Linked DNA regions of Sus scrofa. The protein of the gene in region 2 interacts with the protein of the main gene of each other region in a biochemical or structural test. Links are inferred from orthologs where the notes say so. Each region holds a gene or a part of one and is shown on either strand. Other genes may lie near its edges.

Evidence for each region.
Region 1: of the proteins of RPTOR (region 2) and MAPK1, one has a biochemical effect on the other in vitro, tested with the Homo sapiens proteins (2 studies listed by BioGRID, with this or other methods). The link is inferred for Sus scrofa from reciprocal best matches to the Homo sapiens genes RPTOR and MAPK1.
Region 3: of the proteins of RPTOR (region 2) and RPS6KB1, one has a biochemical effect on the other in vitro, tested with the Homo sapiens proteins (6 studies listed by BioGRID and IntAct, with this or other methods). The link is inferred for Sus scrofa from reciprocal best matches to the Homo sapiens genes RPTOR and RPS6KB1.
Region 4: the proteins of RPTOR (region 2) and AKT1S1 interact in a biophysical measurement, tested with the Homo sapiens proteins (2 studies listed by BioGRID and IntAct, with this or other methods). The link is inferred for Sus scrofa from reciprocal best matches to the Homo sapiens genes RPTOR and AKT1S1.

What each region holds. Positions count from the first base shown.
Region 1 is NC_010456.5:50,081,205-50,086,834, reverse strand, and holds the start of MAPK1 (mitogen-activated protein kinase 1), read right to left. Parts: upstream 3,757-5,630; 5' UTR 3,733-3,756; coding exon 2,990-3,732; intron 1-2,989. UniProt on the Homo sapiens protein: Serine/threonine kinase which acts as an essential component of the MAP kinase signal transduction pathway. MAPK1/ERK2 and MAPK3/ERK1 are the 2 MAPKs which play an important role in the MAPK/ERK cascade.
Region 2 is NC_010454.4:1,988,152-1,993,899, forward strand, and holds the start of RPTOR (regulatory-associated protein of mTOR), read right to left. Parts: upstream 3,694-5,748; 5' UTR 2,617-3,693; coding exon 2,455-2,616; intron 1-2,454. UniProt on the Homo sapiens protein: Component of the mechanistic target of rapamycin complex 1 (mTORC1), an evolutionarily conserved central nutrient sensor that stimulates anabolic reactions and macromolecule biosynthesis to promote cellular biomass generation and growth.
Region 3 is NC_010454.4:36,141,827-36,146,936, reverse strand, and holds part of RPS6KB1 (ribosomal protein S6 kinase beta-1), read right to left. Parts: coding exon 5,039-5,110; intron 3,045-5,038; coding exon 2,954-3,044; intron 2,789-2,953; coding exon 2,698-2,788; intron 1,983-2,697; coding exon 1,875-1,982; intron 1,321-1,874; coding exon 1,258-1,320; intron 1,065-1,257; coding exon 987-1,064; intron 1-986. UniProt on the Homo sapiens protein: Serine/threonine-protein kinase that acts downstream of mTOR signaling in response to growth factors and nutrients to promote cell proliferation, cell growth and cell cycle progression.
Region 4 is NC_010448.4:54,883,195-54,888,941, forward strand, and holds the start of AKT1S1 (proline-rich AKT1 substrate 1), read right to left. Parts: upstream 3,437-5,747; 5' UTR 3,224-3,436; coding exon 2,644-3,223; intron 1,384-2,643; coding exon 1,306-1,383; intron 1,224-1,305; coding exon 940-1,223; 3' UTR 1-939. UniProt on the Homo sapiens protein: Negative regulator of the mechanistic target of rapamycin complex 1 (mTORC1), an evolutionarily conserved central nutrient sensor that stimulates anabolic reactions and macromolecule biosynthesis to promote cellular biomass generation and growth.

The DNA.
Region 1 (5,630 bases), on a different chromosome or scaffold from region 2:
CATCGTCCTTTGCTTCATCCCATACTCGCCGTGATTAGAAGTCTACCACTCTACTTACCAGAGCCCCAGTGACTGATTCTGTCTATGAGGGCTCTCCATCTGCTGCTTTCGGCTACCACTCTATTACTTCACCTCTAGGAGGTTACAATAGCCTAACTGATTTCCCACTTTGCTTTTTCCTGTCACTTCTACCAGTGTTGCTCTATCTTCCCTCAAAATTTCAAAACTGACCATGTGTCTGCCTCTTTTCAAAAACACTGATGCTTCTCCATTGCACAAATATACGCTCAAGCTTGGTTTCGGCTTTAGAGTCCTCTACAATTTGCCAACTAAGTACTTTTCCAGAATTAGAGTCTACAGCTCAAACTGTCACTTGCACCGATTATCTTTCTATCAAAATCACACCCACTCCTAAAGGCCCAATTCAAGCTCCACTCTTCATCTTTATATTCTCCACATGATGATTAGGAAAGGACTCTGCACAGAAAAAGCAAATTCCTAATGAACTGATTCAGGGAGTGAAAAAAAATTTTTTTCTCCCAAAACACTTAAATCCTCTGGAAGCATTAAATTTTTGAAAACATCCCTATTCAAATATTACTATTTCAATCAAGAAATCCTCCATAAACCCAACAATGTAAACCAACATTTATTAAATGCTAATAATGTGTGACATGGATTTAATTCTTATATTAAATATCATTAATCTGAAGATAAAAAGCTATAATCTGTACCCAGGATTCTAATTCCAATAATATTTACACTTGGATCCTACTTAAGAAAGGAACGTCACATTAAGAGGGCTTGGTATTTTACCCGACAGAGATTTAGAAGGTCAAATAAGTCTACAGAAGCTACAGAAAGTTAGCAGATCTAAATGAGCTTCAGACTAGTAAACATTCTTATCAAATTAAAAAGAAAAAAAAACCTCTAAACTGGATTGTCATAAAACTAGTTTTTTGGTTTTTGTTTTTTTTTTTGTCTTTTTGCCATTTCTTGGGCTGCTTCCGCAGCATATGGAGGTTCCCAGGCTAGGGGTCCAATCAGAGCTGTAGCCCCTGGCCTATGCCAGAGCCACAGCAATGCAGATTCCGAGCCACGTCTGCAACCTGCACTACAGCTCACAGCAATGCCGGATCCTTAACCCACTGAGCAAGGCCAGGGATCGAACCCACAACTTCATGGTTCCTAGTCAGATTTGTTAACCACTGAGCCACGATGGGAACTCCAAAACTAGTTCTTTTCAGAGTCTATCTTAGGTTCTAATTTATCTTCTTTGGAAGGGCTGAAGGACATGACAGGCAATTCTGAACACTTCATAGAGACCTTTACTGGCACACTTACCAGCAGATACAACAGCAATCAGATGTAGGACACAAGTGATGCTGTGGGGCATTACTTTCTCTCCATTGCATTCTAGGACTGCATTTCTTTTAGGCCTCAACTAATTTAATTTCGCTTTTGGCTCCTTAGCCTCTGAATTCACGTTAATTCTCAGCTGTATACTTTGAAGCATTTTGATCTTGAAAAGAATGAAAATATTCAAGATTCAATGAAAGTCTTTTTCTTTTTTTTTAAAGTTTATGTAGTCTTTGAACCTAGCTAATGTAACTGGTAAATCATGCCCTCTATGGCCTTTCTGAAATCAAGATCATTTAAAGTTGAATATATTTCTGAAATAGATTTGCTTATGAGTAAGACAGACTAGAATTCTAAAATTATTAATAACATTATTTAAGAAAAATAGGATGTAATGAAAAGAGCTGCAGCAACTGAAGTTAAATTCTCAGTCTACAATCTCAAGTCTGACTCTTTAGTTGAATGACCTTAGGAATTGGCTTTACCAGAAATACTTTCTCATCTGAAAGATCTCACAGCCCTTCCCTCCCACCAGCTGACTATTCAAATAAAATGAGATAATATATCTAGCACAGTACCTGCCACGCAGCATTCAGTATTAGTTTTTTTCCTTCGTTCAACACAAAAGACACTCACAAGATTTAGGTATAAGGGAGTCCACACCTGCACAAGTCTTCATCAGCACAAGACAGCTAGTTAGTACTAATTTAAAAAAAAAAAAAAAACGAAAAAAAAACACCGTCACCTCCACTCCACAAACGTTTCTGAGGGATCTGCATCAAGACGAGGGAACCAGCATGTGACACTGCAAGAACTCCACCAGGACTGCATACATATTGACCACTAAAGCATTGACAGTAAAAGTCCACAATAATTGTGCTAAAACGTCTGGATGCCTTTATGCTGGTAATAGAGTTCAAGCGAGATAAAGGAAAAAGAAGCCAATTTAGGCCCAACTCCAAATGACTCCTTAATAAATCAAGAGAGGGATGCTGGTTTATCTTTCCTAAAACGCGGACAGTACGATATTAAAACCCATTTAAAAACTTCATCAAGAATGAAATATGCCAAAACAAACATTGACGCCACTAATGCTTTTTCAAAAGCCTGCGCAGGAGAGCACCGCTGGCACCACCGAAGGTATCTGATGAAAGCCGTGCGTGGAAAACGCAGGCGAGGGAAGGAAAATAACAGACGGTCATTTCGGGGCGGGGCACACACGCCGCGGCCGCCGCCGCCAGCATCTGAAGGAATTCGCGGCTTCCCACCCCGGCGCGAAGAGCAGGCCGCGCGGCGCACACCCAGGCCGGGGAGGGGGGCGGGGGGGGCGGAGGGGGCCTAGGTTCCCGGGCCGGGGTCCTGGATCCAGTGTCCACCCCCCGCCCCCTCCCCGCGCCGAGCAACGCCCCAGCCCGACCAGCCCCGCCCCGACCGAGGCCCCGCTGCGGTTGGCGGCGCAGCGGGCCTGGGTCGGAGGTCGGAGGTCCGGGTTGGGGTAGGGGCTGGGTCCGCGTCCGGGGTCGGGGTCAGGGTCGGGGTCCGGAGAGCAAGCGGGGCAGCAGCGGTGAGCCCGGCTGGGGGGGAGGGGAGGGCGGCGGGCGCGGCCAGGCCGCGGGGCATGGACACTCACCACACCATGCCGTAGGCGCCCTCGCCGATGTAGGAGAGGTTGGTGTAGCGCGGCCCCACGTCGAACACCTGCCCGCGGACCATCTCGGGGCCCGCGCCCGCCGCCGCCGCCGCCATGTTGGCTGCCGGGCCGCCGCCGCCGCCGCCGCACTGGGCTCGATGCTCCGCGGCCGCTGCTCGGCCCACGCTGCACCAACGGGGAGACCGCGCCCCAGCCGCTGCAGCCGCCGCCGCTGGCCGGGAAGAATCAGTGAGGGACCCGCTCGGGAGAGGTAGATAGCCACCGACCGCTCGTACCGACTGCCCGCCTGACTGACTGACGGGCGGGCCGGCGGGCGGAGGGAGGGGCGCGCGCCGAGGAGGGCGCCGGGGCAGGGCCGTAGGCGTGAGCGCGGATTGGCTCCCGCGGCCTGGGGGCAGGGCTGCGCGGCCGGCGGAAGAGGCGCGTTGGGGGCGGAGCACTGCAGCGGCGGGGCGGGGCGCGGTCACGTGCGCTCGCGGGAGGCGGCGGGGAAACGCTGAGGACTCCGAGGCGGGGCGAGCTTGCGGGGCCGAACGGGCGGGGCAGCGGGCCGAGAGAAGCTCCGGGCGGCTCCCTCCGAGTAGGAGCGCGACCGGGGCGGATTCCCCCCGCCCCCGCGCGCCGAGCCAGGTTTGTGAGAGTCCGGGGCCCATACAGATTAGAGGCCTCGAGACCCGCACAGAAGCCGGAAGGGTGACCGAGACCGAGAGAGATATTTGCATCCTGAGAAAGTGTGAAACCCAGAGTGGGAGGCGGAGACAAGAAGCCCGGACGCGGCCCGCTCCGGCAGAGGCTCGTTCAACAAGTGTCACCGCGTTCCTGCGCGTCCACCCTCCTCGAAGCTACCCTCCAGGAGATGATGGATGGACGGTCGATGGATCTGAAGGAAGACTCAAGTTGTCTGCGAAGTACTGCGAAGAAAAGGAGAGCAGAGTAAGGGGTTCGGGAGTAGTGGGTTGAGACCCTGAGAAAAACACTGAGATTCAGAGACTGGCACCCAAGTTGGTACAGATGGGCAGGATCTTACCCAGGTAGAAACGCGAAAAAAACAAGTATTAACATCTAGAGAAAACGAGTTAGACGCACTGAGGTTCAGAGATTGTCACAAAAATGGAAAAGAATGTATATATGTATAACTGAATCACTTTGCTGTATAGCAGAAATGAACACAACATAAATCAACTGTAACTTTAATAGTCACAAACACCAGAGGTTGAAAATAAAAGGCAGAATCTTGAAGCAGGTGAATTCGATAAACAGCTAAGACAATGAGACAGAAGATGATCCAGCCCTTGCTTCTGAGCCACTTCATTGGAGTCACCTGCGTCGTCTTGGAAAGGGGACTAAGGGTGGGAAATTCTGCGTCCTGATTGTCTGACACTGTGATCCAGAAAGCCTGGACTTCCAGTCATCAACAAAGATCAACTAGACAGTCTTGAAGATGAATAAGCAAAAGAGAAAAAAATCCTCTGGGGAAAAAAAAAAACATGTGGCATATGAGAAAATAAATAAAGGGCTACAGCCAAAAAGTACTCTTTTGAAATATGTTTAGTCCATAAAGTAGAACCCAACACCTGATTCTTATTCCTTTTTTTTTTTTTTTTTTTTTTTTGTCTTTTTGCCTTTTCTAGGGCCACTTCCCACGGCATGTGGAGGTTCCCAGGCTAGGGGTCTAATCAGAGCTGTAGCCACCGGCCTATGCCAAAGCCACAGCAATGCAGGATCCTTAACCCACTGAGCAAGGCCAGGGATCAAACCCTCAACCTCAGGGTTCCTAGTCAGATTTGTTAACCACTGAGCCATGACAGGAACTCCCTGATTCTTGATTAAAAGAAGAACTTGCATCTTTTAAAGGACAGGCCAAGATAAATAGAGGGTACCATGAAATTAAAACCACAATAGCCAAAGTAAAAGCAATGGTTGGAGCTGTAATAAGCAGACTTAACAGTGTAGAAGAGCAAGTCAGCAGGATAGGAGACGACTATGAGAAAAAGCTGGTGATGAAATTCTTTAAGAAGAAAATGTACAAGAGAACAAACACCACAAAGTCAAACTACAGGCACCCCCTCCCCAAAGAAGACAGAGCAAATCACTTAGAGGCAATAACTTACAGTAAAAGAAAACCTGCCTTAATGTCTAAAAAGATCTGTGGTGTTGGAGTTCCCTGGTAGCCTAGCAGTTAAGGACCTGGCATTGTCACTGCTGCAGCTCAGGTCACTGCTGCAGCAAAGGTTTAATCTCTGGCCTGGGAGCTTTTGTATGCTGCGGGTGCAACCAAAAGGATCTAGGATGGACATGGAAAATTGAGTTCTCTGAATCCAGAAAAAATAAATAAGCAGAAAACTTCAAGACATGATCTGGAAAAGTTCGGAAACGTCAGCAATAAAGAACAAGCACAATGTATAATCAGGACAAAGAGATTGTTTATTTAAAAAGCTAAAAACTGGGAGTTCCTGTGGCTCAGTGGGTTATCAACCCGACTAGTATCCATGAGGATGTGGGTTTGATCCCTGGCCTTGCTCAGTGGGTTAATGATCTGGCATTGCCGTGAGTTGTGCTATAGGTCGCCTACATGGCTTGGATCTGGCATTGCTGTGGCTGTGACATAGGCCCGCAGCTG
Region 2 (5,748 bases):
TGTGTGCGCACGATCCCAAAGCCTTGAAGTGACACATGGCTAACCCGCAGGCCAGAGCCGGCCCGCAAGGGACTGTTTCGCATTTTGTAACATCTGAATTTTAAAACTGGAAAACTTCACACTGAAAGGGAAGAAAAGGGGTTTCCAGCGTCTCAAAGAAAAGAGAGAGAAAGGGAAACGGACCCAGTCAGCCCCACTGCCCTTGAGCTGCAATGTGTGTTCTTCAGAGGCCCCCCTGTTGCCCCCCTCCAGAAAAGGAGACGCGAGCCAAACCTCAGCCGCCACTTATCTATGCACTTGTGCCATTACACCCGTTCTATCCGGCCCGTTTCATTCATGCGTGCTCCCTCCCAACTCTGAGTGTCATCGGGATTTGCGAAATGTGCTGCAAAGGCCCCTCGGGCCGAACCAGGGAAGGAGACACGGGGCAGCTCTGCTGCGACGCCCAGCTCCCACAGACTTAACCGCAAGTGCTAGCTGCTGGTCTTCTTTATCAAACAACTTTAATGGCCGAATACAGCAAATTTTCTCTCCTGGCTCTAAGTCAGAATCTCAGTAATTACTCCGACTCGCACAATTTTTCTCCCACTTAATAACTTTTGAAGATTTTATCAGGGAATGTTGATCATTCACAAATTACTGTTTTAATTAAAAGGTCAAAAATAGATCCATTAAGGAGTTCCCGTCATGGCTCAGTGGCTAATGAACCCGACTAGTATCCATGAAGACACGAGTTCGACCCCTGGCCTTGCTCAGTGAGTTAAAGATACGGTGTTGCCATGAGCTGTGGTGTAGGTCACAGATGCAGCTGGGATCCCATGTTACTGGGGCTGTGGTGTAGGCTGGCAGCTACAGCTCCGATTCAACCCCTAGTCTGGGAACCTCCATGTGCCATGGGTGTGGCCCTAAAAAGACAAACAAACAAACAAAAAACATTTTTAAAAAATAAAAAATATATCCATTAAGCAGTTTTGAACAGTTTGACCAAGGGTTTAAGGTAGCCAAGGGAACTACATGTCAAAAGGGAAAAAAAAAAAAAAAAAAAGGAAGGGCCTCCAAACAGGAGAAAAAAGATGACCACAGAATTACGTTGTTTTTTTTTTTTTTTTTTTTGGCCATGCCTGCAGCATGCAGAAGTTCCAGGACTGGGGATCAAACCTATGCCACAGCAGCAACTCGATCCCTCGATCCATAGCAATGACTACCCCAGAACCTCAACCCACTGAGACACCAGAGAACTCCATGCAGTTACTTTTAAAATATATTTTTTGAGATATGCTTTGCAACCATGAAAGCTCTGAACTATCTATTTAGTATGAAACATATCCATAAGACAGACTCTATACATTCTCTTCCAGTGACCAACTCTTTTACTCCTTAGACTGCTTTTGTATCAATCAAATTTTCCTAACCTTTTAAAGAGAAGCCAGGTAATACCTGAAGCACCAGTTACTAGTGACTGACCACCTAGAATGACCATGAGGATAAGCGCATATATGTTCAACATCACCTACTAAAAACAACAATCTTATATAAACATCTTCATAAGCCCAGAGCAACCACATTACATGATAACACCAAATACCTCTCTTATACCAAAATGTTCAAAGAAACAAAGAGTCTTAAAGAAGGAGAAAACGAAACACAAAGAGACAAATTCTAAGCACGTACAGATGAGAGAGTCCCATCCTTCTGCTCTGGAGACCAGGAAAATAGTTCTCCAAATTAAGGTCAGATTTAACAAAATTGTTTCCTTTACTGTAAGCTGCTTGTGAGTTGCTATCCACATCCCAGCACCACGAAGACCCCCTAAAACCTAAACCCCCGTTTCACCCCGTCATACTCCAACTGCACTATTAGAGAAATTCCGTCTCCAAGTAACAGTAACAAGACACCACACAAAAGGAGGACAGTCTGGATTCCAGAAAGCTGTTTAGAAGGCTATGATGGAGTTCACCGTAACTTTGAAATAACTACGCATGAACTTGTTACCACCTGAACATTTGCCAGTAACCTTGTTTCCTAGCATACGATACTGGACTTCTGCACTTGCCCTAGCTTGGACCGAAAAAGTAAATTAGCCACAAAAGTAGACTAACCACGTGGGTACAAATATTATGTCCCAAGCTGTTTTTCCTCTAAGTGTTAACAGTGCCAAGTATATCAAGGGGCATGTGACAATGCTGGGTTTTCTAACATACTTAACTTGGACTGTCTGAATTAGAACTTAGTTTGTACCGAATTAACTCTCCAGGGAATAACTGCGAACCGAAACAGCCTTTTCCACTTACAGCCAAGACCCAGAGTCTGAAATGGTTTGTGCTTTTTGGTTGACTTGAAACACACAGCTGGGAAAAAATACCGCCGCTTTCCCAAGGACACTCCTCTGGCTCTAAACTAACTTCCCTGAAAAAAACTACCAAGGTCCAAGGGGCGCAGGCGCGATCCACTTACCCGATCCTTCATTCTCCAGCTCTGAGCTAAGGACTTGGAGCCTTCAATTTTCTCACAGTGCCTCTTTTTCATAAAAGCCAAAGGCAGGTTCCAGTCTGTAAGGTCGGCCTCATCGTCCTCCCCGAGTCCCAGGAGGGGCGACTGCAGCATCTCGGACTCCATCACTGGGGGAGGGGGTGGGGGAGTCCTGGGCAGCAAGCGCTCGAGAACCTCCAGCCTTGAAAACCAGTGTGTACCAGAATTGGCGAACGAATACACAGAAGAGGGAGGAGTAGAAAATGAAACGGATAGTGAGTGTGCGGAGACCCTCACTCAGGCAAAAAGTCTGCGATCCTTCTCTAACTCTGCGCGGGAAGTCGGAGGCGTGGGAAGAGCGGTGGGAAATGAGGGAACCCAAGGAGCTCCGCACAGACACAGGCGGCCCAGATCCCAAGCCACCGGCTGCTTCCGCGGCTGTCGGTTCCCGGGGGGCTGCGAGCGGAGCTGTCAAAGGCGTGCGAGACTCCAGGCCTCACGATGACCCTGCCCTCGGCCTCCAACGCCTCAGCCGATCCGAGGACAGGCAGGCCGCCCGCTCTTGGTGCCGGGTCGCCGACCGGGCTGAGGTCTCCGGCCGAGGGGAAGAGGTTCAGAGAGCTTCGGGTCTCCTGCAGCCACTCTCAGCCTTGCGGGTCCCGCACTCGCCGGAGCTGCTGCAACCAGAGCCAGGACCGGCCCATCGTGCTCGCCCGCAGCCGGCTCCTCAGCCCCGAGTCCGCGCGGCCTGGCTGGTCCTGGCCTCCGGCCCCGTGGCCCTCTCCTCCCTGAGAACGAGTCCTTAGAAACGGGCGACACGGAGCCGTGGAGAAAAATGCGTAATGTGGGCTTATTGGGTCTCGGGACTTTTGCCCTCTGGTTTGAAGCTACAGTGAAACTCCGCTCATCAGCACATCAAGGAGGACGCCATATTGCCGAGGCCCAGCATGCAGCGCGACTACGGCGTGCCTAACAGGCCAAATGTCCTCAGAGCGTTCCGGCCCGTGCGTCCCAGGAAACTGCGAGAGGGTTCCCCCCCCGTTACTATGGTTACCACGATTCAGTTTGCCAGAGTTTATTGCCATTCGTTCAAGAGATGCGTCATATCGAAGTCAGTCCTATAAATGAAACTCTGTTAATTAATTTTGGAAAAAAAGCTTTTTATTATTACAAATGGACCTACATGCTTCTGAAATTAAAGGAATCGACCCCTTGTTTCTTCCAGATTGTGAAAAAGCTGCAAGGCTTTTGATAATATTACAAAAGAAGATCGTGTTTGGGGTGGGGAGTTGTAGTATCCGCCACAGTAGCGATCAGATTTTATTTTTTTCAGGGGACACTAAGTGAAAAAAAATGTATTTTCTGAGTGGTTTATTCCTTGATATAGTTTCATGTGCAAACAACTAAAAGCTACAGATTTTTCTTTTCTTTTTTGTCTTTTCCAGGGCCGAACCCGCGGCATATGCAGGTTCCCAGGCTAGGGGTCGAATCAGAGCTGTGGCCACTGGCCTACACCACAGCCACAGCAACGTGGGATCCGAGCTGTGTCTGCAACCTACACCACAGCTCACGGCAACACTGGATCCTTAACCCACTGAGCAAGGCCAGGGATCGAACCCGCAACCTCATGGTTCCTAGTCGGATTCGTTAACCACTGAGCCACGACAGGAACTCCAAAAGCTACAGATTTCTATGCATGGCAGCCCTCCTGTGTTACTTTATTGTTCTATTTGGTAAACACTGTCTATTCACCATGTGTGGAGAACTGTGTCCCAAGCAGCATGCAGGCTGCCTTCAGTAAACGTAGTATATAGGGAGACACATGTGCAACCGGTGCATAAAGCTGGTAAGGGCCTGAGAAACTCAACTCCCCTCTTCGTTTCACCCTGAGGTCAGACCACCTGAAGCTGCATCTCGGCTGCATCTCTCCATCTCCGTGACCTTGGTCAGTCCGTTAACGACTCAGTCTCAGCTTCCTCAGCTGTAAAACTGGGTTAAGAATACCCATCTTAGGAGTTCCCCTTGTGGCTCAGCGGGTTAAGAACCCAACCAGTATTCATGAGGATATGGGTCGGATCCCTGGCCTCGCTCAGTGGGTTAAGGATCCGGCATTGCCGTGAGCTGTGGTGTAGGTCACCGATGGGGCTCAGGTCCTGAGGTGCCGTTGCTGTGGCTTTGGCTGTGGCATAGGCCGGCAGCTGCAGCTCTTATTCGACTACCAGCCTGGGAACTCCTATATACCACAAGTGTGGCCCTCAAAAAACAAATAACAACAAAAACAAAAGAAACCCACCCTAAAGGATAAATTAACCTATGTAAGCATCTAGTATGCAGTGAGCACCCAATACAATGCCAGCAGTGATGGGTCTCTCGCTAGAGTGAAATCTAGCAGCCCCATGAGCTTTACTCATCTAAAACTTCAGGCTGGGCTCTAGAAGATACTCTTTTTTTTCAGTGTGGTTTCCTAGGGCTTTGACACCCTATGGCAGTCCATCTCAAAATACTGATGGCAGGAGTTCTCGGGTGGCCCAGCAGTTAAAGACTTGGTGTTGTCCCTGCTGGGGCTGAGGTTCAACCCCCGGCCCAGGAACTTCCTCATGCCACGGGCATGGCCAAAAAAAAAAAATCCTGATGGCATTTGTGTTCCTTTCAACATCCGAGTAAATAGTGCAATCCCAGATTATTCTCACCTAGCATACAGCAGACGTTTCACAGAAATGCTTGGCTTTTCTCGTTTAGCATTCTAAATATGCATTCAGTTATTACAGCGCAAAAAGCCCAATTCTCCCATTAAAACTCAGGGCAAACTGACCAAAACACAGATGGAGGTTAACATCTTCCTTTCCTTGCTCTGACCTGTGTTCATAAAATATCCCCCACAGTCACCAGCAGAGGCTTCAGAACGGCAGGGTGTCGCCTCAAGGCAGCAGTATAACTGCGGCTGCTGATGGTCACCTGCCACAGGCAACGGTGAAGGCCAGGGTCACTGGGCACTCTCACCGGCAGCCACAGCCACAGAAAAGCAGCAGCATCAAGCCCATTCTTTCCTAAGTAGCCCTGTGGAAAGGCACTTCATCTGTGTGAGACTCCGATTCCCCACCTAGAAAGTGAGTCACCCTGAGAAATCCACTTCCTTCGTCTAAGCGAAGGTGAAAGGAGCCCATCAACCCCGAACTTGACAGGTTGTCAGAGTCACCTGGGAAAATACTTTAAAATAAAGACGCCTGGTCCCATCCAGAGCTACGCATCATGAGGAGGAGGAGGGCAGGGTTTCAGGAT
Region 3 (5,110 bases), about 34 Mb from region 2:
GACTGGTGTCCCTACAAAAAAGGGAAAATGTGGATTAGAGGGTGGGGATCCTAATCCAATATGACTGGTGTCCTTACAAAAAAGGCAGAGATGGGCTGAGATGCCTACGAGCCAAAGAATGCCAAAGACTGCCAGCAAACCACCAAGGCATGAAACAGGATCTCTCGTTGTCATCAGAAAGAACTACCCTTGCCAACACCTTGGTTGCAGACTTCTAGCCTGCAAAACCATGACATAATAAATGTCTTTGTTTAAGCCACCTCGTTTGATACTTTGTTAGAGAAAAGCAAAACAGGGCTGGGTTAAACAAAACAAAGCATAAAAACACAAAAGTCCCAGCTCCTTGAAATATTTAACCATCTTAGGCAACCAACTTAAAAATAGTATCAGAGTTCCCTGCTGGCTCAGTGGGTTAAGGATCCAGTGCTGTCACTGCTAAAAGTGGTTTAGGTCACTTCTGTAGTATGGGTTTGATCCCTGGCCCAGGAAATTCCACATGCCATGGGTACAGCCATTAAAAAAAAAAAAAGTTGGAGTTCCCATTGTGGCTCAGTGGTTAATGAATCTGACTAGGAACCATGAGGTTGTGGGTTCGATCCTTGGCCTTGCTCAGTGGGTTAAGGATCCAGCACTGCTGTGAGCTGTGGTGTAGGTCACAGATATGGCTTGGATCTTGCGTGGCTGTGGCTGTGGGGTAGGCCAGCAGCTGTAGCTCCGATTAGACCCCTAGCGTGGGAAACTCCATATGCTGCGGGTGTGGCCCTAAAAAGACAAAAGACAAAAAAAAAAAGAAAAAAAAGTTAATATAGCCAGTAATTGCTGCTGGCAGTTCTTGAAAAGACAACACAGAATAAAGATTCTGAAGAGAAGAGAGGACAGGCCAAAAATTTTTTGAACTTAATAAATACGTTTCTAATTGCGCTGAGATTTTCCTTTTTTGAAAAAGCACCAGCTTCCTCAAATTATATGCTTTCACGTAGACATACCAACAGAGGTTTAAAAGGGGGCTCCACCTTCCGAGCAAGCAGTTCTTCCCAGTTAATATGTCTAAAGAATGGATGAACCTAGGGAAAAACAAAACAAAACAGCAGGAAGAAAGGTTGAGGAACAGACTTCACTGGACTGACAAATTAACAGCCTGTTTGAAGTTACCAATCACAAAATAAGCTATCCTTAGAAGCAACTACATATAACCTTCACAAATACATAAAATTAGCATGATCTTCCCCTCAAACCACCAAGCGTGCCAACCCCTACTTGAACTTCTCCAGCGTCCCCAGGACCAGCTCCAAGACGAGAAGCAGCATTTCTTTTCAGCAGCTTTAGGGAAGGGAGAAAAAAAACACTGATGAACTTTACTCAGTCAAATTGATTATTTTTTCTTTATAGTGTATTTTGCTTTGAGAATATATAATTTATTAATTACTACTAAATATTGTTTAGGAATAAAAAGAAAAAAATCTTTATCAAACAAATTTGTACTGTGCCTGCAAAAACTACAGGCTTTGTCAACATCTGTGTATGATTCTGTATCCAAAATATATATTCAGGGTGTTCCCATTGTGGCTCAGCAGAAACAAATCTGACTAGCATCCATGATGACATGGGTTCGATCCCTGGGCTCGCTCAGTGAGTTAAGGATCTGGTGTTGCCATGAGCTATGGTGTAGGTCGAAACGCAGGCTCAGATCCTGCATTGCTGTGGCTGTGGTGTAGGCCAACAGCTACAGCTCTGATTAGACCCCTAGCCTGGGAAGCTCCATATGCTGCAGGTGTGGTCCTTAAAAACAAACAAACAAAAACAAACAAATATTCAGTTCTATCTATTTAAATCCTAGTAGGCTTATGGTTTGAGTGCCTATTTTAGAACCCTACCTTTTTAAGCAGATCTCTGGCTTCTTGTGTGAGGTAGGGAGGCAAATTGAGCTTACATTTGAGGATTTTGTCAATTGTTTTCTTTCTATTCTCCCCAGTGAACGGGGGCTAAGAGTAGAAGAGAGTGAGAAAAATTAGCATAGAAAAAAAAAATCAAATTTTAAATAACAGAATTATCCATTTCCTGAATTAGCTATGCATCAAAACCAGAAGTATACGCTGTGATAAGGGATGACTGCTAAAGATCTGTGGGTTTTAAGCAATGGCAGAGAGGAAATAGCAATGTCCTGAAAGGAACTGGGTTTCCATCATTCATTTGGTGTGATAATGGGTGAGCCATGTGATTTTATGCTTTCCTTTCTCCATTTATAAAATAAGGGCAGGGAGTTCCTGCTGTGGTACAGTGGGCTAAGGATTCAACTGCAGCAGCTCAGGTTGTTGCACAGGCATGTGTTTGATCCCCAGCCCAGTGCAGTGGGTTAAGGATCTGGTGGTGCTGCAGCTGTGGTACAGGTCGCAGCTGCAGCTCATATTTGATCCCTGGCCCAGGAACTTCCACAGGCTGTGGTGCAGCCAAAAAAAAAAAAAAAAAAAGTAAAATAAAATAAGGGCAGTATGTTTTACATCCATTTCACAGGACCACAGTCCATGACATAAATCATTTAAATGAAAATATTTATAAAAGTAGAAAGGCCCATAGATTTTTAGAAGTAACTTCATTGGTAACATTTTCAAAAAGCAGAGGAAAGTTCTCTTGCTATAGTGACTTAATAACTGCTCGGCAAAGACCATTAACACATGCAGCTTTTAACTGTGCACCTACTGCTCCAGTCAGCATGTCATACATTAATGCTCCCAAACTCCACCAATCCACGGCACGATTGTGGCCACTTCTCATCAAGATTTCAGGGGCCCTACAATGAGAAAAATAATGTGCCTTAAAAATCCACTATTTGCATATCATCTGAATTAAAATTTTAAAAACTATATAGATCCAAATGTTGCTACTATTACTGAAACTAGGTAAAAGTTAGCTATTACCCCCAAACCAGTAATATTTCTTTCAACATGCAGCTCACATGTATTCTATTGTTCCACAAAATGTGTGTGTGACTGTTCCATCATGAATAGATTCTTTGCATAGTCCAAAATCTGTTAATTTCACATGACCTACAATGAAAGATTAAAGATGGTTATTCTGAGAATTCTAAGTCTGTGCAATGTTTGAATGCATCATATAAGACAATAATATATCCTTCCATTCTACTTTTTCTGCCTAAAATTTGTGAGATATCAAGAACTACAAAATTTCCACCCATAAAAAGGATACTAACTTTAAGGGTAGGGCAAAATTATCTAGTAAAGGGAAAATAAAGATGAGAAAAGGTGAAACAGCTTGTCTAAGGCTCTAGCTTCACCTACATCAAGAATCCTTTATCTTCACAAGTCCTAAGAAAACGTGACGAAGTCTGGATTAAGTACATAGATCCTAAAAAAGATATTCTACAGTTTTAAACAAAAATGTAACACTGTACTTCAGCTATATAGCTTTTATCACCATGAACCATGACCTGACAGTCTCAGGCAGTCACTGTAACAAGTCGGCTTATTCTGCGGTTAGGGAAAAAAAAAAGAAAATGCTGCATAGCATAGAACCATCATCTCGGATCCAGAAAGTGAGAAACTTATCACCTTATACAAAAAAAATTTCAATTCAGGTTTAGCTTTATTGAATTATCATTAGCTATCCAGTAGTTCAGCAACTCCAGGGATTCTACTATTCCAGGTTTATTTCAAGAAAAGAAAAGACAATATAAATAGTACATCACTCTGACAGAGAAAAAGAAATATGACCTTTATTTTCACAAAACCACCTGAACACACTCAGGTTATGGATCAAAGAAATTAACTAGTTACTTGCCTATTCTATCCCTTGCCTTAGAATTCAGAATCAGAATCTAGGTTTGGGGCAATGTGGGCAGAAATGGGAAAGAAGGAGATATATAGATACCCATGACATACTTGGTTAAATATAGAGTTTCCCCTTTAAAAAATAGAAAAAAAAAAAAAAAAAAAGGAAAGAAGCCACAATTCGAAACATTTATTCCGGCAACAGCTGTCCATAAACCATTTTCTGTCTAAGAATTTTAAACCATTAGCTACCTTGTATGTCATCTGGTAGGGATCAACAGCTGCCACCAGCCACCAGCCCCCAGCCCCCAGACAGGTTGGCTGTCTACTCCTCTGGAATGTGAGTGAACTGCCTGAACTGCCAAGCCTGCCTAGTCCATATTATTCTCACAAAGTTCAACTGTCTGTAGCAGCATGCAGTTATAATCAAGGTTCACTCTGCTCACTACAGCTGTACAGAATATTAGTCTATCTGATTTGTACGTTTGTTGTTACCAACAAATAGCAAGAATAAACTGAAGCCTACTAAAAAATATTTTATTTCCAAGGCTATATCAAATATTTTGGTTATATTCTAATCCTTTTCTTTTTTAGAGAATTAATACAATTTATCATAAAAGTATTGTTTCTAATATTTATGTATCTTCATCAACAAAGAAAACTCAATTTATAACATTAAGATTCACTTTCCAGAGTTCCCATCGTGGCTCAGTGGTTAACGAATCCCATTAGGAACCATGAGGTTGCAGTTCCATCCCTGGCCCTGCTCAGTGGATTAAGGATCCGGAGTTGCCATAAGCTATGGTGTAGGTTGCAGACGTGGCTGGGATCCCGAGTTGCTGTGGCTCTGATGTAGGCTAGCAGCAACAGCTCTGATTAGACCCCTAGCCTGGGAACCTCCGTGTGCCCCGGGGGCAGCCCTAGAAAAGGCAAAAAAAAAAAAAAGATTCACTTTCCAGTTGAAGGAACCAGCCAAAATTAGCATTTGGACTGGCTTTGGTTCACCATTTCAAAAGATGACAAGCTCTAAAGAGTAAGGGTTAAACTAGAAAAGTTTTTTAAGTGGCTAGTTATCCTCAACTCTCTTTCATATCATCAACCATAAGTACAAGTATCATGATATTATAAATTCTGAGGGAGGAATGTATAATAACAAACACATGAAAATGGGGCTTTGAAAATGACCATGACCTGTATGGAAGGATTTTAAGATGATTATATTTACTATAGAATTGTTTACAGTATATCTCCACCTTGGTGATTAAGCATGATATTCTCCGGCTTCAGGTCTCTGTAGATGATCCCCTTTTGATGTAAATGTCCCA
Region 4 (5,747 bases), on a different chromosome or scaffold from region 2:
GCTGGGCTTGACTCCTAGCAGAATGGGAGAGGCCATGACAGAAGCGAGACCTGCGCCCTCTCAGAGGCCAGCCCGGGGCCCAGTACTCAGGACTCACATGTTCAGTTAAATAACTGTTTCCACCAGTGACAAAGAAGGGCAGCAGCGGGGAGTTCCCATTGAGGCTCAGTGGAAATCAATCTGACTAGTATTCATGAGGACACAGGTTCAATCCCTGACCTTGCTCAGTGGGTTAAGGATCCAGAGTTGCTGTGAGCTGTGGTGGAGGTTGCAGATGTGGCTCGGATCTGGCGCTGCTGTGGCTGGAAGCTGTAGCTCTGATTCAACCCCTAGCCTGGGTCCAATAGCCGCATATGCCACAGGTGTAGCCCTGAAAAGACAAAAAAAAAAAAAAAAAAGGACAGCAGCTGATGATGGGCCCTGCCAGTCTGTAAATGAGGACACTGAGAGGTGTCACAGGGAGGGGAACCATGGGATGGGATGGACACAAGACCTCCTGCCTCGAAGTCCATAGCTTTTCGCCAAAGGGAAGCTGTGTTCCAATCCCAGCTCTGCCCCATCCAGGCTGAGCCTCAGGGAAGTCCTGTGGACGCTGTGCCTCGGTTTCCCCTCTGCTGCGAGTAGCTTTAGTGATGGGAGGTGAGGACCCACCCAGGATGATACGGGAGCAACTGAGGACAAGGGAGACGGCACAGAGGACAAAGGAGACGGCACAGAGTCCGGGAGGAGACGGGTGGGGGTGGAAGGTTATCTGAGCCCTCTGTGCTCCAGCTTCCCCCGCCTGGAGCCGGTACCAAAATACTGGTGCCTTGCCCAGAGCAGATGTTCTATAAATGGAACTATTCCTGGAAGGGAGAGGCTGTTTCTCTGCACGGGCCCGGGATGCATTACAAGGCTGTGGGTGGTTAACACTGCAGGGCTCCGGCCCAAGAACCAGCCTTATGAGGTGGAGGGGAGGATGGGTCCTGTGACACGTGGCATCCTCATCCCAAGGGCTTCCTGGAGGAGGTGGCTTCCCAAGCCCCTCCTTCCCGCCTCCCATTTGCCCCTCACCGGCCCATTCTCCTCATCAGATGACCGCGCTTCTGTCCTCTTCTCCTTGAAGGCCCACACGGGCACGGAGACAGGCAGGGACTTGGCATACTGCTGTGTGGGCAGGGCTGAGGCGGGGGGCACTGAGTAGGCTGCGGGGCCAGCAGGGGTCTCCTCGCTCAGGCTGCCATCTGTAGAGAGGGTGGACTTCAGCCTCTGTTCCTGCCTTCGTCCTCCCCTCCTCTGGGGATGGGGATAGCCTGCGACACTCACCGTCTGTGCTCTCAGGGTCCGACTCACAGAAGGGGGGCAGGTCCTGGAGCGTGGCGTCCTCGTCCATCACAAAGAGTCCTGTGGATGGCGTTAGGGGCTGGGGCCAGTTGGGTCCTGCCAGACTCCAGACACTGCCACCACCTCCCAGTGCCCTGCGCTGGTCAGGCCCTTGCAAGGCTCGAAGCTTCTGGAATTATCACTCCCTCCCCCTGGTTATGTGCCTGGCCGGCAGCAGAAATAAATCCAGGAGTTCCCATCATGGCACAGTGGTTAGGGAATCCGACTAGGAACCATGAGGTTGTGGGTTCGATCCCTGGCCTTGCTCAGTGGGTTAAGGATCTGGCGTGGCTGTGAGCTGTGGTGTAGGTCGCAGATGCGGCTCGGATCCCACATTGCTGTGGCTCTGGCGTAGGCTGGCAGCTACAGCTCTGATTAGACCCCTAGCCTGGGAACCTCCATATGCCGTGGGAGCTGCCCAAGAAATGGCAAAAAGACAAAAAAAAAAAAAAAAAAAAATCCAGTTTCCATCATGTCCCCAGGTGAAAGCAACTGGTTCGATGAACATGAAATCTATAAGATCTGTTTGGGATGCACGGACTCAAAATACAGCTGAGAGAATGACGAGATAATTATGAGCCCTGTTTGACAAACGGGGACCTGGAGGCAGAGAGATTAATTTACTTGCCGAAAGTCCACATCTAATAAGTAAGGTCACCAGGATTTGAACCCTGGCCAGGCAGTTCCAGAGTCTGAGCCCTGAACCCTATGTGGATTTCTCTAGCAACAGTGAGGAAGCCAGCCACTGACAGTAACAAATGAGTAACCACTACTTATTGAGCTGCCCACTGAAAACTCCTAATCAGTCTTCAAAGCCCTAATGTTATATATAGTCCAGTCTCTGGGAAGCAACCAACTGCCACATTTCCCCCCAAAGAGCCAGTTGCTTCCTCCCCCGGCCTCCTCGGCTGCTGCGGCAGCCCTGACTCCTCTAGCTCCTGGGCATTAGACACCCCAGTTCTGTTCTATTCATGCTCCTGATTCAGGAGACTCCCTCCCCACCCCACGGCCTCCGTGGGGCACCGTCTCATGTCAGGACCCCAATTCTTTGGCCAACCTGGAGGCCCTAGAGAAGTCTCCCAGGTGGCCTTCTCTGTGCCCAGCTTGATCTAAGGAAACCGAGACTCAGAAAGGGGCAATGACTCGCTCGGGGTCAGAGTGACTCACAGGTAAGCCTGCAGCCTCCCTGAACACCAGGGCTCAGAGGCAAGTCGACCCCTTCGGGAAAACCCACCTGGGAGGCAACTTGCCAAGAGCTACCCCAGCCCCTGCCCCTCTCACCTCCGTTATCGCTGACGCCCAGCGGCTCCCCCGAGGTCTCTGTCTCTGTTGGCTCGTCCTCGTCCTCCTCATCCTCCTCCCGGGCCAGGGCAGTCCGGGGTGGGCTCCGTGCGGGGCTGGGCGCCTGCGGTGCTGGTGGGGGCGCGGGAGGCCGGGCGGCGGCGGCTGCCCGGTGGGCCAGGGCGATGTCGTGGAGGCAGCGGCGGGCGGCCTCGGCCAGGGCCCCTCGACCGTGGGCCGCGTAGGCGCAGGGCCCCGGGCGGGGCGGCGGGGGCGGCGCCGCCGTCAGCAGCACCAGCTCCGTGCCGGTCCGGGCCCGGAAGCGCTCGGCAGCCCCCACCACGGCCTCCCACAGCTCCTCGGGGCGCCCTGACGCCATCCGCGCCCTGCGGGCCAGAGCAGGACAGCGGGGGCTGAGGCCGAGGCCGCGGTCCCCGGCGTCCCCGGTCCCCGACTCCAGCCACCCCCGGCTAGCGGCCTTATCCCCGCGGAGCTCAGCATCTGCCCCCCACCCGCCACCCCCCACGATCCCCGCCCATCCAGATCGCCAGGCCCTGTCCTCCTCTCGGCCCAGCCCCATCCTACACGGAAGCCATCAGTCACGTGTGACTAGGGAGCCCTGGAGAGGTAACTGATCCACAGCTAGCCGGGGCTACCAGAGTGAAATCCACACAGGGTTTCCAAGATGCAGTGCAGGAGTTCCCCCGTAGTTCAGTGGTAAGGAACCCAACTAGTATCCAGGAGATTATGGGTTTGATCCCTGGCCTCACACTGTGGGTTAAGGATCCAGCGTTGCTGAGAGCTGCGGTGTAGGTCGCAGATGTGGCTGGGATCCTGCGTGGCTGTGGCTGTGGCTGTGGCTGTGGTGTAGGCTGGCAACCAGTGTCCAATTCAACCCCTGGCCTGGGAACATCCATATGCTGCGGGTGTGGCCCTGAAAAAATAAAATAAAATAAAAAACAAAGACTTAGTACAGAAAGGTAGGATGGAAAATACCTCATGAGCCATCTGCAGTTGACTAAATGTTGAAAGGATGACATTTATTTATGCTGGCTAAATAAAATATATGGTCAAATGAATTTCATCTCTTTCCTTTTTACTTATTTAATGGGGCTTAGACAAAATCTGAAATTATACACATGGTTGGATCATGTCTGCGGGACGGTGCCACCCTGGACCACTGTCCTAGCCTCCAGCCCAGCCGGCACACAGCCCCGAAGGAGCCCTTCTACCTGACAAGGTCACAGCCCCTCAGGCCGGCACTGGGGGGCCTGCTCCCGGCCTCACACACTGCTAGACTCCTGAGGCCTTCCGCCAAGGTGGACCCCGCTTCCTGGACCACTTGTCCTTCTCGAACTTGTCACTCCTTCGCTCACCCCCAGATCAGGTCAGCCCGCCCCATCTATGGGTTCCCACAAAGTCCAAGGGACCTTTGTTCTAGCACATGTCCCTCCGGGGAATACCCCCTGGATCCACATGCATCTCCCAGGCCAGAGCGCAGGCCTGTCGGATTATCTCTGAGACACTAGCCTGGCCACAGAGAGCCGGGCTTGAGCAGAAAATGGTGTGCCAGCTGCTCTCTGTGCCCGGACTCCACCCGCAGAGCTCTCGTTCCCGTTTCGGCAGGGCCTCTGGAAGTCTTCCGTGATTCCCCAGGACAGACGGGATGCCTTCCCTAGACCCACAGTGCCCTAGGCTACCTGCACCATAGCTCAGGGGCGCACAAGCCTGTGACAGCTGTACCTCCTTCTGCCTCCTCCATCAGACTACGGGCAACCTGAGGTCAGAGATCTGCGTCCTCAGGACAGGTCTGCTCTCAACAGACCACCTGCTGGAAGTATCCCCTTACCAGGTGAGAAGAAGGGACAAGGGGCCTGGCTTCCTGCCCAGACTGCTGTGTAACCTTGGACCCCTGAATGGCCTGCTCTGGGCCTCACTGTCTTCTCCCTGTAAATCAGCGGTTGAGCTAGGGCTGCTGGGCAGCTGTGGAGCCTCCACAGAGGGAGTGGGCTCCCCATCATTGGAGGGATCCAAGCAGGGTTGTGATCCAGCCCGCTGGGGTGGTAGTGGTTTCATTGCAGCTTGCAGGCCCTTTGTGACCCATGAGCACAGAAACCAGTGTTTGCTGAGCATCTCCTCTGTGCGAGGACCCTGCGCCCGCTGGCTCACCTCCGAGCTGACCCACTAAGGTGGGAGGTGTTAACCTCACAAACAGGACAACCGAAGTTCACAAAGCCCTTGCCAGAAGTGACACACAGGGAGAGCGCGACCAGCACCAGCCCTGACAGCCCTGGAGCAAGTTCTACTGCACCTTCCACAGGCCCGGCAGGGACCCAAGGGGGTCATCCCCGCCTCCCCCATCCCATGACCCTATGAGGGAGGAGCTCTGCTCACCCCACTTTACAGATGCAAACTGAGGCCCAGGGAGATTCAATATCTTGACAGGGCATTTGGCAAGAGAGAAGGAGAGCTGGGACCTGGATCTGTCAGTTGGGACCAGAGCCTGTTCTTGTTTTTTTTTTTTTTTTTTTTTTTTAAGGCTGCACCCGCAGCATATGGAGGTTCTCAGGCTAGGGGTTGAATTGGAGCTATAGCTGCCGGCCTACACCACAGCCACAGCAACTCGGGATCAGAGACTCGTCTGCGACCTACACCACAGCTCATAGCAACGCAGGATCCTTAACCCACTGAGCGAGGCCAGGGATCGAACCTGCAACCTCATGGTTCCTAGTTGGATTCGTTTTCACTGTGCCACAACAGGAACTCCCAATGCCATCCTGCCAACCTTATGAGGAAAGATTTATGATCTCCTAGTCCAGATGGGAAAGTGAGGTTCAGAGAGATTAAGGTACTGGCCAGAAGGCACACAGCTAGAAAGGGCAAAAGTAGGGCTGAAATTGCTGTCTGCCCAACTCAAAAACCCCAAACTGGGAGGCGCTCAGGATCCCACAGCGGCTCCTTGGGACATCCCCACCTGATGGTGGGAACTGAGGCAGGGAAATGACTGGTCCAAGGTCACACAGCCTGGGAGTGCTGCATCTGAGGCTCTCACTTCCTTGGGACACCAATATTAAACTCCTCTCTTAGGCAAGATCTCTTAGAAC